3 linked regions of the Oryzias latipes genome follow. The protein of the gene in region 1 interacts with the protein of each later gene in a biochemical or structural test. Links are inferred from orthologs where the notes say so. Each region holds a gene or a part of one and is shown on either strand. Other genes may lie near its edges.

What was found.
Region 2: the proteins of rad51ap1 (region 1) and rad51 form a complex in vitro, tested with the Homo sapiens proteins (6 studies listed by BioGRID and IntAct). The link is inferred for Oryzias latipes from reciprocal best matches to the Homo sapiens genes RAD51AP1 and RAD51.
Region 3: the proteins of rad51ap1 (region 1) and dmc1 form a complex in vitro, tested with the Homo sapiens proteins (2 studies listed by BioGRID and IntAct). The link is inferred for Oryzias latipes from reciprocal best matches to the Homo sapiens genes RAD51AP1 and DMC1.

The regions. Positions count from the first base shown.
Region 1 is NC_019881.2:17,661,173-17,665,546, forward strand, and holds the start of rad51ap1 (RAD51-associated protein 1), read right to left. Parts: upstream 2,928-4,374; 5' UTR 2,615-2,927; coding exon 2,598-2,614; intron 2,491-2,597; coding exon 2,444-2,490; intron 2,023-2,443; coding exon 1,899-2,022; intron 1,157-1,898; coding exon 1,056-1,156; intron 967-1,055; coding exon 877-966; intron 761-876; coding exon 641-760; intron 560-640; coding exon 383-559; intron 315-382; coding exon 192-314; intron 102-191; coding exon 1-101. UniProt on the Homo sapiens protein: Structure-specific DNA-binding protein involved in DNA repair by promoting RAD51-mediated homologous recombination.
Region 2 is NC_019882.2:19,722,679-19,727,103, reverse strand, and holds the start of rad51 (DNA repair protein RAD51 homolog 1), read right to left. Parts: upstream 2,881-4,425; 5' UTR 2,810-2,880; intron 2,774-2,809; exon of another isoform or gene 2,689-2,773; intron 1,870-2,688; 5' UTR 1,826-1,869; coding exon 1,736-1,825; intron 1,661-1,735; coding exon 1,523-1,660; intron 1,453-1,522; coding exon 1,335-1,452; intron 1,263-1,334; coding exon 1,171-1,262; intron 1,095-1,170; coding exon 1,000-1,094; intron 929-999; coding exon 815-928; intron 100-814; coding exon 1-99. Other genes in the region: centromere-associated protein E, read right to left, coding at 3,825-3,904.
Region 3 is NC_019877.2:2,423,939-2,427,068, forward strand, and holds the end of dmc1 (meiotic recombination protein DMC1/LIM15 homolog), read left to right. Parts: coding exon 1-9; intron 10-109; coding exon 110-151; intron 152-217; coding exon 218-290; intron 291-386; coding exon 387-478; intron 479-560; coding exon 561-634; intron 635-710; coding exon 711-825; intron 826-1,818; coding exon 1,819-1,879; intron 1,880-1,981; coding exon 1,982-2,098; intron 2,099-2,171; coding exon 2,172-2,241; 3' UTR 2,242-2,533; downstream 2,534-3,130. UniProt on the Homo sapiens protein: Participates in meiotic recombination, specifically in homologous strand assimilation, which is required for the resolution of meiotic double-strand breaks.

The sequences.
Region 1 (4,374 bases):
CGGTTTGACCCGGACTAGGCGGGACAGTCCAAGTCGCAGCCCCTGGCTGGGTGACTTCACCGGTGGACTGTGTGATGATGAGGCGCTTTTACCAATCTGAGCTGGAATATAGTATTAATATAAATATTAGCCTTCAATCTGATTACAGCAGTTTAAATAACAGAAAGAGTAAGTGCATTGATAAGCTGTACCTGGTGGGTTCCACTTGGGTACTTTCCCCGCTGCTGGGCTCAGAGAGGATGCAGGCTTTGTGGAAGGAGGTCTGGTGGGTGTCGGTTTGGACGTTGGAGGACTTTTCACCGGTTTGGAAGCAGCTAAAATGTTTTAAAAGGCTTAGTAACAAAAATCAAGAGGATGGAAAACGTCAGCCGTTGAAACAAACCTGCTGCTTCAGGCTTCGTCTTTGACGGTTGTTTGACTTTTTTAGAAGTGGGAGCTGGTTTGATTCTGTCTTTTGGGGAGACTTTGTCCTTCTTTTGGGTCTTTGTGGGTTTCTTGACTGTAAATTCTTCATCCTCACTCTCAGATGGCTCACTGAAATCTTCATCACTTTCTGGATCTGGAAAAGCAAAGAGCTGTTACACTTATGAAAACCAAGAGAACAGTTTTTTATGGAGCTTTGGAAGAAAAAAGTGCTAACCGGGTGTAAGTTTGGGTTGATAGTCGTCATCGTCATCTTTGCATTTTTTCACTTCAGCTGTTTTAGAAGAAGTCTTCTTTGAGGCGGATGATCTGATCTCTGACGAGATTGCGTCTAAGCCTGGGACCCACAAACGACAATAAAAACACAAAAAAATGAGTAAACTGAAAGAAAATGTCGATTAGACGAAGAAAAACATATTGATCGGGGATTTGGGAGGGGAGAACAATACTTACCCAAAACTGCTCCATCCACACTGCAGTTAGAAAAGCGCAAAGTAGTCGGATCCGTATTTTCATCCATGGGGATTTGAATCTTTCCATCTGCTGGAGAAATTTTTTTTTTTCCAGAAAGAATTTGTTACCACTCTCAGAGAAAAACAAATCAACTCAGCATTTTTCAAGACAAAACAAACCTTTAGGAGATGACTCCTTCAGCCCATCTGTGTTGTTGAGCAAGGACAGTGTGATGGCTGCCTCAAGGTCTCTGTCATAAAGTTTTTCATCCAGTGGTTTTCTGAGAATATTAAGTGTTAATTGGTTAAAAACTAAATTAGTTAAAATAATTTTTAACTTCTCAGGTGCCAAACCATTTTGTTGCTGCTCAGGGATAGGTACGGGATCATAGAGGGCCAGGGGCTCAAAGTCAGAAAAGGGCAGCAAAAAAACACATTTTTTTGTTGTTTAAACTATATGGAAATTAAGCAAAAAAAAAAAGTACTAATAGATGAATATTCAGCTATGTGACCTGTATGGGTAAAAGTGATACAATTGTCATCTTTTATTAAAATAAATTATTGTCAACATGACTTTATCGTAGACTTGAAAGACATCCAAGACAATAAAACACTGAGGGCTATTTATTTTGCCATTGTGCTGCAGACATAGTTGAAAAACAGATTGTAATACACAGATATACCATAACTTTCATCCCAAAATTCCCAGCGTATTTTTTTACACAACAAATGAAATATTTACACAACTGCATTTTATCATTTTCTCCTGATTCACAACAATTTAGATAAAGAAATACTTAGAAATGAAATTTTAAGCTTACTTTTCTTCATATTTGTCCTCCATCATCAGAAAAATGCCACAAGAACATGTAAAAAACACCAAAAAGTCCTTTTTCATCTGAGTGGGTCTTTAGGACTAATGTTTACTCAAGAGGTGGAGATAACTTGAGAGGCTCACAATAATCCAAAGATCCATAAGTGACAATAAAATCCCCCAAAACATCTAAATGTCCAACGGTGTACCTGATCTTTTCTTTCTGTGACGACTCAGAGACAACTTCCTGACTTGAAGACTTTCTCTGTTGTTGTTTCACTTCTTCCTTGGCTTTTTTGTGAGGTGGAGCCTTCACGGAGGCAAAATCTTCATCTGACACAACAAAGAAACAGGCTAATCAAAAGGGGTTACCTGGTAAACGCTGTAAAACTAAATGCAACTTTGGGTAATTAAAGTTGAATCGGTATAAAGGAGTAGGCTTTAAGCGTCTGGGTCCTTTATGTCTATCGTTCTCTAGTTCTTCCAAATACAGAATCTTTTGAATAACTATAGTATAGTTATCAGCGAATGCAGACATGTATCTTTAGTTTTTATAATGTTTGGACTAACTAAACCAAACATGGAAGGTGTTTTCACACAGAAGAGAAGCTAAGTTTGAAGTTAAGTCTTAAAACTTAAATTAAGAGAAAGACGTAGAGTAGCAACACAATTGTTGTTGTGAATCATTGAACATATGATATTAGACAAAAAATTTGAAAATAAAAGTTGGATGAACAAAACACAAATAACTCACCATCCTCAAAATCCTTGGCTTCACTATAATTCACAACCTTTGTCTTTCTGTAACAAATAAGCAAACGTAGAGAAATAACTTAAGAGCGTCTTTTCTATTCACATTTGACAAGTAATTAAAAAACGATAAACTAATGAAAATGTTTCTTGCTCACCTCGACGGCCGGTCCATCCCTTTATAGGATTTTTGACAAATTATACCCTTAGTTTATCCAACGATCAATAAGGACATTAACGGCGATTTAGCCGCTATTTTACCCTTCGATCACATGAAGCTTAAGCTAGCCGGTAATTTTGCAGCAAAGCTGATTTAAATCAAAAGCCTAACACCTAACGTACTGAGGAAAAAACTTTACTTCACTTCCTCATACGTTGATACATTAATGTATACTAGTTTTGTATAGCGACAATAAAATAAGCGACTTCTGGTTTTAAGCAGCCCGCCTGAACTGACCAGAAGTGACGTCACGCTGTGTTGATTAATTTGACGGTAGCGGAAGTTGATGAAAAAAGCGGAAGTTGATTCGAGTTTATTTTTTTTACGTTTTAGTTTAGTTGTTTTTAATAAAATACCACTAGTAAAAATGTTTTATTTAAATTTTTTTAGTAAACCCATTGTAAATAAATTAAAGAAAGAAAAAAATGCACAACATTGTTTTTATTTTGAGTGAAAAATGTATCGTATCTACTGTTTATGAAAGTAGATTAGTTTTCTTAATTTATGCCAGCAGTACAGATAATACATATATAAAAAATTAATAATTTATAGATGTAATTTCACCATAAAGCACCATATTTTCTCAATTTCTTAACGATATATTTTTATACATAAAATCAATATCACACTCTTCTAACAGGAATGGTTACAAATATTCAAAAATATTGATTGTTTTCAAATTTAAAACAATCAGTATTTGTGAATCTTTATATGTATTTATTTAAATAAAGCCCCTCACTGTTTGATCTTGTTAATGTATTTCACATTGTGTATTTGTTCTCCTGTTGTATACTCTTCAATAAAATTGAAAAAGAAAATTGCATTATTCTTTTAAGTCAACTTAAAAAAATTTGGGGAGGATTTTACAGAATTAGTGACATTAGGTGACAAAATTAAGGCTTTAAAATCATGAGCATAATTACTAAACAAGTGTGTCATAATGAACTAACATTAAATGGAATGTAATTCCTGTAAACACAATAAAATGATGTATATTTGCAGTATTTGAATAGGAAAAAAAATATTTTTATTTGTTATATTGATTTTTAAAATGGTTGCATACAATTGAAATGTGTGTTGTATACTATAATTGTATTTAATTGTATTTGAGGTGTATAATTCTTTTATATTTTTTATTTCCTTAAATATTTTTGCACATTTTAAATTTTCCTTTCTTTGCTCCCTTATGCCTGATCCCCAGAGTTGTAACAATTTAATTTCTTCACAGCAGGATGTAAAAAAAGTTTATTGTATCTTATTTTTTAATATAGATGAGAATATTTTCTGGGTAGCTTTGATTACATATAATAAAAAAGACTGTTGTTGGTGCTAAACGGACAGCTGTTTGTCAAGGGGTAAAGAATCCAACCATCCAACAGGTGGCAGTATAAACTAGATGATTCAGGACTTCTGATGTTCCAGTTCCTGGGTCTGATTGACACTAAATTGACACGTCCTCAACTGCCCAGTCGCCCACACACATGGGAAGAAGCAATCACAGTTCTGAAGAGAGGTCAAAACGAAACCTCCCCAGATTTGACTGTGGTTCTTCGAGAGAGCAGCCACTGTATCGAGGGTTGTCATTTTCCAGCTTGTGAGTGGGTGGTTGTCCGCTGTGGTTTGTCACACAGTGGCCCTGGAGCAGATGCTCAGGGCTGTGAAAGGCCATGTTTTTAGGCCCAGAGAGGGAAGGAAGACATGCAGCCGTGGGGCCA
Region 2 (4,425 bases), on another chromosome or scaffold:
AACCGGCCCAGGTGCCCCTGCCGGGCCGACAGCTCTCCTCGACCCGAGTAGTCGGTTCTGTACAGAGCAGTGGCGCTATCCACGATCAGCAGGGCATACCTGAGACACAAACGCACCATCTAAAGTAATCTAAAGCTGATGTTCTGATGCTTTTTTTACAATACAGATGAACTGACAACTTTTTTTTTAACAGCAGTTCCATTTGTCAACCTCCTTCGGTAGAATATTACATTTGGCTGCATGTGTGGGTTTTCTCTGCGGCTTCCTCACAAAGTCCACCAAATATGATGACCAGTGAGGCACCTGAAAAGTCCTCGCTGTCTGTGCACTAACAGAGCCACCAGCAGGGGGCAGTTCTGTCTGAGGTTTATCCTGATGGATCTCATCAGTTATCAACATTAAGAACATCTGACTCCTCCATCCACCTCCATGCTGATGACATAATCCTCTATTTCATTGCCGCCCCCTCCTGACATACTGTTTCCCTCAATAACATGTCAATAAACATATATATATATTTAAATGTATTGATTTTTTATCTCTCATTCTTCAAATGAACCTATTTGCTGCATTGTAAAAGAAGGATAAACATTCAACTAGAGGCAACCAGTTATGCTAGTTTGGCCAAAATCAGCATATTCATGATAAAAAGATTACTGGGAATGATTTGAAAATAGATTTTAAAAAAAGATGATCGGACTTTAAAGCTCAAACACTTGGGTATGTGACCTTTGACTGAATGTGTTCGGAAACCTGCAAACTGTCTGATCTCAGGAAGTGGACTGGAGGACAGCAGAAGGTGTGAAGGACTCACCTGGACTCTGCCATCATGGCTGAAGCTTGGTACAGCAGTTGGGTCTGATGGTCGGTGTTGAAGGCGCGGGCGTACGCCACGTTGTCCAGGACGTCACTGCCCACCAGACCGTACCTGAAGAGCCCAGAGTTTTAACATTTTCTCAAAGTAAGATGAGGAGTTTGACGCTCACGGTGGAAACTCGCCTCTCTGCCACAGCGAGGAGCCTCTCTGGTCTGAAGGTCCCCTCTGTGTCGATGTACATCGCTTTCCCTTCTCCTCCCCCTTGATCGATGGGCAGCTGCAAACAGAACAGAGGACTGAAAGCTTCACGTGATCAGACAGATGGAAGTTTGGCCATTCCGCGCTGATCTTACCTGACACGTGACAGCGAGGGTGTGGCACAGCTGCGTCTTCCCCGTGCGAAACTCCCCAAACATCTCTGTGATGGAGCCTGTCTCAATACCACCTGAACTCAGGAAGGAAAAGGTCAACATTCTTCAAATCCTCAGGGATGGTGAAGGAGCTCCAGCAAACTCACCCTGCAGGAGTTTGTCCAGCTCTTTGGATCCTGTGGAGATCTGGATGATCTCCGACCTTCTCTGGTGGAACTCTGTGGCTGTAGTGAAACCCATCGGTACTAGCTTGGCAGCTTCAGTCTGAGAGAGATAACAGAACCGTTAGGTAGGAGCAGCAGAATCCCTGAAGCCAGAAGCTGCTGTTCCTCACTAGGATCTTGTCGGCTTTGGCCTCGCTGATGCCTTTGATGTTGAGCAGCTCCTTCTTGGGAGCGTACGCCACGGCCTCAATGGTGTGGAAGCCTGCGTCCTCCAGTTTCTTGATGTCGCTGGAGCTGATTCCACACTGCTGCAAGCAGAAACCAAAATGTTTAAGACAACAAAGCTTCTGCAAAAGACACAATAGAACTATCAGGGTTCAAACCTCCAGTCTGCTAAGAGGCTGCGGCCCAAAGTTCTCCTCCTCCTCCACCGCCACTTCTGCCTCCACCCGAGCCTCGCTCCTCATGGCCATGACTCTTGAATGAAAAGCTGAATTCTCCTCAGGCAGGGTCCTCACTGCACAGAGTCAAAAAGGAGTGTCAGAGCAGCAAACACCACGATACAAAACAAAACAGGACAGAAAGTTTAAGGAGGTCTAATGCTTTCATTTAACTAAATCCTACTGATTTAATACTAGTTTTTCTTCAAAACATAAAAGACTTGAGGATATTTTCTTAAACTAAAATAGGAGCGTTTTAAACGACCCAAAACACCTAAGCACAGAATAAGAATATTAACAGTAACTTAAAACTTAAACACGTGAAACATGATTTCCCAGCATGCAATTATCCATCAATCCTCTTTAGAGGTTTTTAAGCAATATACTGAATACTAACGAATTTTTATTAGTCAAATAATTTTAAATATATACGTTTAAATTACTTTTCTTTCCTCTACATAATTCAGGGAATAAAGTGGCATTATCAAACCAATTTGCAGCCTGTTATGCAGCAGGGATTTGTAGTTCTTAGTTGTAGTTGATAAAATAAAATGTTAACTGCAGCGTCTCAGCAGGTGTTCAAAGCTTTTTTTAATCCGCATTTTATAATAAATGATTAGAAGAGACAAATGTTTTCTAAAGTTAACATTGCCTGTTGAAGTTACACCCCGTTGTTCAAATTCAAAAACTTTATTGATAAGTTGACGTAACACTTATGGGGAAACCAGTGTTTAACCAAACGACTACAAACTGACTCCTATAAATCAAAGTTTTCCAATAACAACAGCAGCTGTTCATATTTTCAAAAGGCTTATTTGTATCTTTCAAAGCATTTTTTGGCTAAATTGAAGTCGCCCGCTAACTTAGCTTTAGCGCTAATTTGCGTAATTTCGTACAAAAAGTTTGATCTTCCGTAAAGCTGCTCTGGGTTTAAGAGCAAAGAGCCAAGTGTCATGGTTCGAACCCCCTAGAAGCAGTGACATTTTTCTACTAAAGACCACGGTTTCGATGAAATACCTGCTGCTTTGTTCTGTTTGCTGATCCTACAAACAAAACTCCCGCGCACGAGATTCCTGTCGAACGCGATGACGTCACATGTGTTCCCATGCCTTGACAAAACAGGAAACCGGAAAAGGAACATTTTTTTTATCAAGTAAAAAATAAAGAACTAAACATTTTCGGTTTTAGCTTCGTAAATGGATATTAGTTTGAAATTGTTTTCCACAAAAACATAAAATATGTATACTTAAATCTTAAAAAAAGAGGCTTGCTCATAATGTGAAAAGCTACAAAGAACAGGGATCCGTTAAAAATCCAAAATTTCTCATTAGGAAGATCTGTTTAAACGCATTTTCCCCTCAATTTCATGTTTATAAGTAATGTCTTTACCAAATAAAATGTCTGTCAGACACGTTTTTGTGATTATTTTAACAAAAAAAGTCTTCAAAAGTGGTATTTAGATTCATTTATTCATCCGTGACTAATAAGGTTTTCAGTAAACATTGAAATAAACCTTTATTTTGATAGAGCAAAGATTTCACTGAATTGTAAAAGCACTTTCAGGCATCATTGGCATCTTGTTTAAATTTGAAGCCTTTATTTTACTTTCAATAGGAAAATAAAATCCCCACCATAAAAGGATTTAAACATGACCTCCGCATGCTTAAATATGCGTTTGATTTTAAACTAGTTCCTCAAAAACAAACATCCAAGTCATGGGCCAATAAATGCAAATTCAAATTTAAAACAGCTGTGACCTACTAATTTGACATTTTTCGTACATAACTGCAACAAAATTCAAGTGAATTTTTTTTTTCCAACCAAGCGTAACCTTAAAACAATAAAAGAATAAACCTCACATTTCATTTTCCATTTATTACAATTATAACAAAATTGCACATGAAGTGTTTTCAACTCAGAGGAGAATCACTCTTATACTGAAATACAAAAAAGTCAGACTAAAACACAGGATTTATTTTTTGGCTTTAAAAGAAAAGTGAAATATTCATTTTTAAAAGGATTCTTTTAATGTTCATTGGGTTTTGCAGAAATCTTCTTTTTTGGGAGACTGTGGCCACCACGGGTCTGTCCCACTGGCTCCAGCTGCAGCATCTGAAAAATAAAAGATTTAAAAACATTTTTTCTGTGCTTTAATCATCAACATGACAGAATCCTTTACCCTGGATTTAAAGAAAAAGACTGGGGTTAGAACAAATGCACACAGATAAATATATATTTAAAAAGTAAATAAGAAGAAAAAACCTGAATTTGTTAACAGAATTTACTGTCTTTACTAAAATGAATCTGCTCAGCTTTATGTTTTTTCAGACTTCAGAACAGATCAAAGGTTAGTTTGCATCTTCAGAAAACTTTTCAGTAACCGTTAAAAACATTAGTAAGCAGGAAAATTCCAGAAGTAGCTTTTGAATCAACAACTTCACGGTGACTCAAGAAACCTCTGGATCTTTTCACAAATTAAGAGCCTGCTTTTAAAGAAAGGAGAGAGTCAAGGGTCCTCCCAGAATTAAACAGCTGTCCACAGATATGCCTGCCTATTAATCTGCTGAAACGCCTTCCTCTGGAATGGAAAGACTCCCATTTCCACGGAGCACCTTCACAATAAAACCAGCACA
Region 3 (3,130 bases), on another chromosome or scaffold:
CTTTCGGAGGTGAGGAGACCCCCGCCTTTCTGTTTATTAATCCAAAAGTTTCCCAACAGATTATTACATGTTTAATCTATAAAAAATGAATATTGTCTTTGTTTGTCAGAGTTCCGCACAGGAAAAACCCAGCTGTCTCACACGCTTTGTGGTGAGTAAAACAGTTTCAAGCATCTTTTTTTGCACATGACATGAACATTTCTGTTTCTGCGTGAAGTCACTGCACAGCTGCCAGGGGAGAACGGCTACTCCGGAGGAAAAGTCATCTTCATCGACACAGAGAACACGTTGTATCCTTACGGCTAAAGCAACTTTATGCATGAAGTGACGCTGGTCCTGAACTCCTATCTGTGTTTTGGTGATGTTCTTGACCTGCCGTGTTTCAGTCGCCCAGACAGGCTGAGAGACATCGCCGACAGGTTCAACGTGGACCACGGTGCGGTTCTGGACAACGTGCTTTATGCTCGAGCTTATACCAGTGCGCCAGCCACACCATGGAATCAACGCACGTTCTTATGATGCAAATGAACGCTGGTCCCCGTGACGCTGTTTCTCCGCAGGCGAACACCAGATGGAGCTGCTGGACTTTGTAGCCGCCAAGTTTCATGAAGAGGGAGGCGTGTTCAAGCTGCTGGTGAGGAGACCTTCACTCCTGGACCTCCGCCGTGACCCCTGCGATCGGGGCAGAGGCTGACTCTGCTCTCCTTCAGATTATTGACTCCATCATGGCGCTGTTCAGAGTGGACTTCTCTGGCCGGGGGGAGCTGGCCGAGCGGCAGCAGAAACTGGCCCAGATGCTGTCCCGGCTGCAGAAAATCTCTGAGGGTGAGAAGCAGATCTGCGTTTGCTGAAGTGTCTCAGGGGTTAAGAGCACAGAAACGTTTTCAGTTGTTCATGAAGCTCCTTATGGTGAAGAAACGACACGGGGAGGAGCCAAACCTCAAACCGTAAAGGCACGCGAAGAATGAACAGAAATACGGAGCCCTCCAGGTGACCGTGGTTAAAAAGAAAAGAAATTCGGATAAGCGTGCGCACGCAAAGCCGACTACACTGACAAGAATTTGATATTAAGTCACCAAAAGGTTCAGAACTTCCTGGTTTTTGAAACCTATCCGGAAATAAGGCTTCACAAAATGCTCCACATCTTTTATCTTCAAACAAAGGGCCAATAAACAGACAACTTTGGTGGTTTTTCGTATTAATTTATGACTTTTTTGTTTCTTAAATTCACAAGGTTTTTTCTAGTAAAGGTATGAGATTTATTCTTGTAAATTTATAAGAATGTTTTTCGCGTAAATTTGCTAGTTTTTTCTAGTAAATCTATTAGATTTTTTACTCATAAATGTATGAGTTTTTTTCTACTAAATTTACAAGATCTTTTCTTGTAAATTTATATGATTTTCTTCTCTTGTAAATTTATGACTTAAAATCTTGTAATAAAAATTATAATAATTGTAAACTGGCCCTAAAACTCTGTTGTACTAATGAGATAGGGGTCACAGAAATGCAAAGATGGGTTAAAGTCCTGTCCTTTAACCCTTGTGCTATCCTAGGCACTTTAACATTGGGAGTTGGGTCATCTAGACCCACTAGACAGTGCTCTGAACCTTTTTTCTTCAATGATTTGTGATCTTCACTGGTGTCACTGGATTACATGAAATCTTTCCACCTTTATCCACCTTTGTCATGGTAGGGAGAACACATCAATGGAAGGGTGGGGTCATCTAAGATAGCACAAGGGTTAAAATCCTGTAGAAAAGCAAGATGATCAAGAGGAGAAAGTGTTCAGGCAGAGTAAGCAGCTGTTTGTGTTTCTAGAGTACAACGTGGCTGTGTTTGTTACCAACCAGATGACGGCAGATCCTGGAGCAGGGATGACGTAAGGATCACAAAAACCCTCATTCATCAGAAAAGGATGTTTGTTTGTTTTTTCATTTCTGACTCAGAAATGTGCTTTTATGTATCCCCCCCCCTGTTTTAGATTTCAAGCTGATCCCAAGAAGCCCATCGGGGGGCACATCCTGGCCCACGCCTCCACCACCCGCATCAGCCTGAGGAAAGGAAGAGGAGAGATGAGAATCGCTAAAATATTCGACAGGTTGTAAGCCTTTGATATTGATAATCATCACAGCTCCTAAATGAACCGGACTTACTGGACCGTTTGTCTGCAGCCCCGTCATGCCTGAAAACGAGGCGACCTTTGCCATTTCTGCTGGAGGAGTGACTGACGCCAAAGAGTGACGAAAAACGGAGGACAGACGTGTTCACGGCCGCCTGTTGGCTTACAGCTGCGGTATCGTTTCTGTTTAGTATTTATATGACAGCTTGTTGTGTTCCAGATGCACTGAATTCAACAAAAAAAGTAATTTATTGAAGTTCAATTGGGCAGAATGTCTGGTTTATTTCAAAATAAGTCACAAAAGATCGGATTGAAAAGTGAAGTTTTCCTTTCCTTAACTTATGTTACACTGGAAATAGTCATTTCTCCCTGTTTATTGATAGAAATATGAATAAATCATTTCAGCAAAAATCTACTTCTTGTGCAAATGCAATACTTTTCAGAACCAATAGAGTTTAGTAAATTAATTTGGACCTAAGCACAGAATAGGAAAAGAAAGCAAACTCATCACCAGGTTAAGTCTACAACCACAGCTGTAGATTTGTTGACCTTTGACCTCAGGAAGAGGCCGCCATCTGGAATTTTCATAAGAAATCACCTTCTACAAACTCCTTCTATGGATTAGAATCTATTACCTCCTAATTCCCCAAGCATCATTGGGACGCTGGGGCGAAAATAAATGTTGGGGAAAGAAAAGGTTTATAGGTTTTGAATGACGTTACCGTGGCGACCTCGCAAGAATGGCGTTCCTTTCTTGCTCTCACATTTTCTATCAGAATGTTATGAAAATGTAATACACGAATCTCTGCGTCGAGCCGATTTGAAACGATATAACACACGATATGAATGTATCCAAAATGTGGGCGTGGTTAACAAAAAACTTCTGTTGCCAAGGAAACCTAAAAATTTACTTTTGCCGATTCTTCCAAAAATTACACCGGCTTGTTCGTCGCCCCCAGGCGACCAAAAGACAAAATGGTTGCTATGGAGATACAACCAACAGAAAGGCTG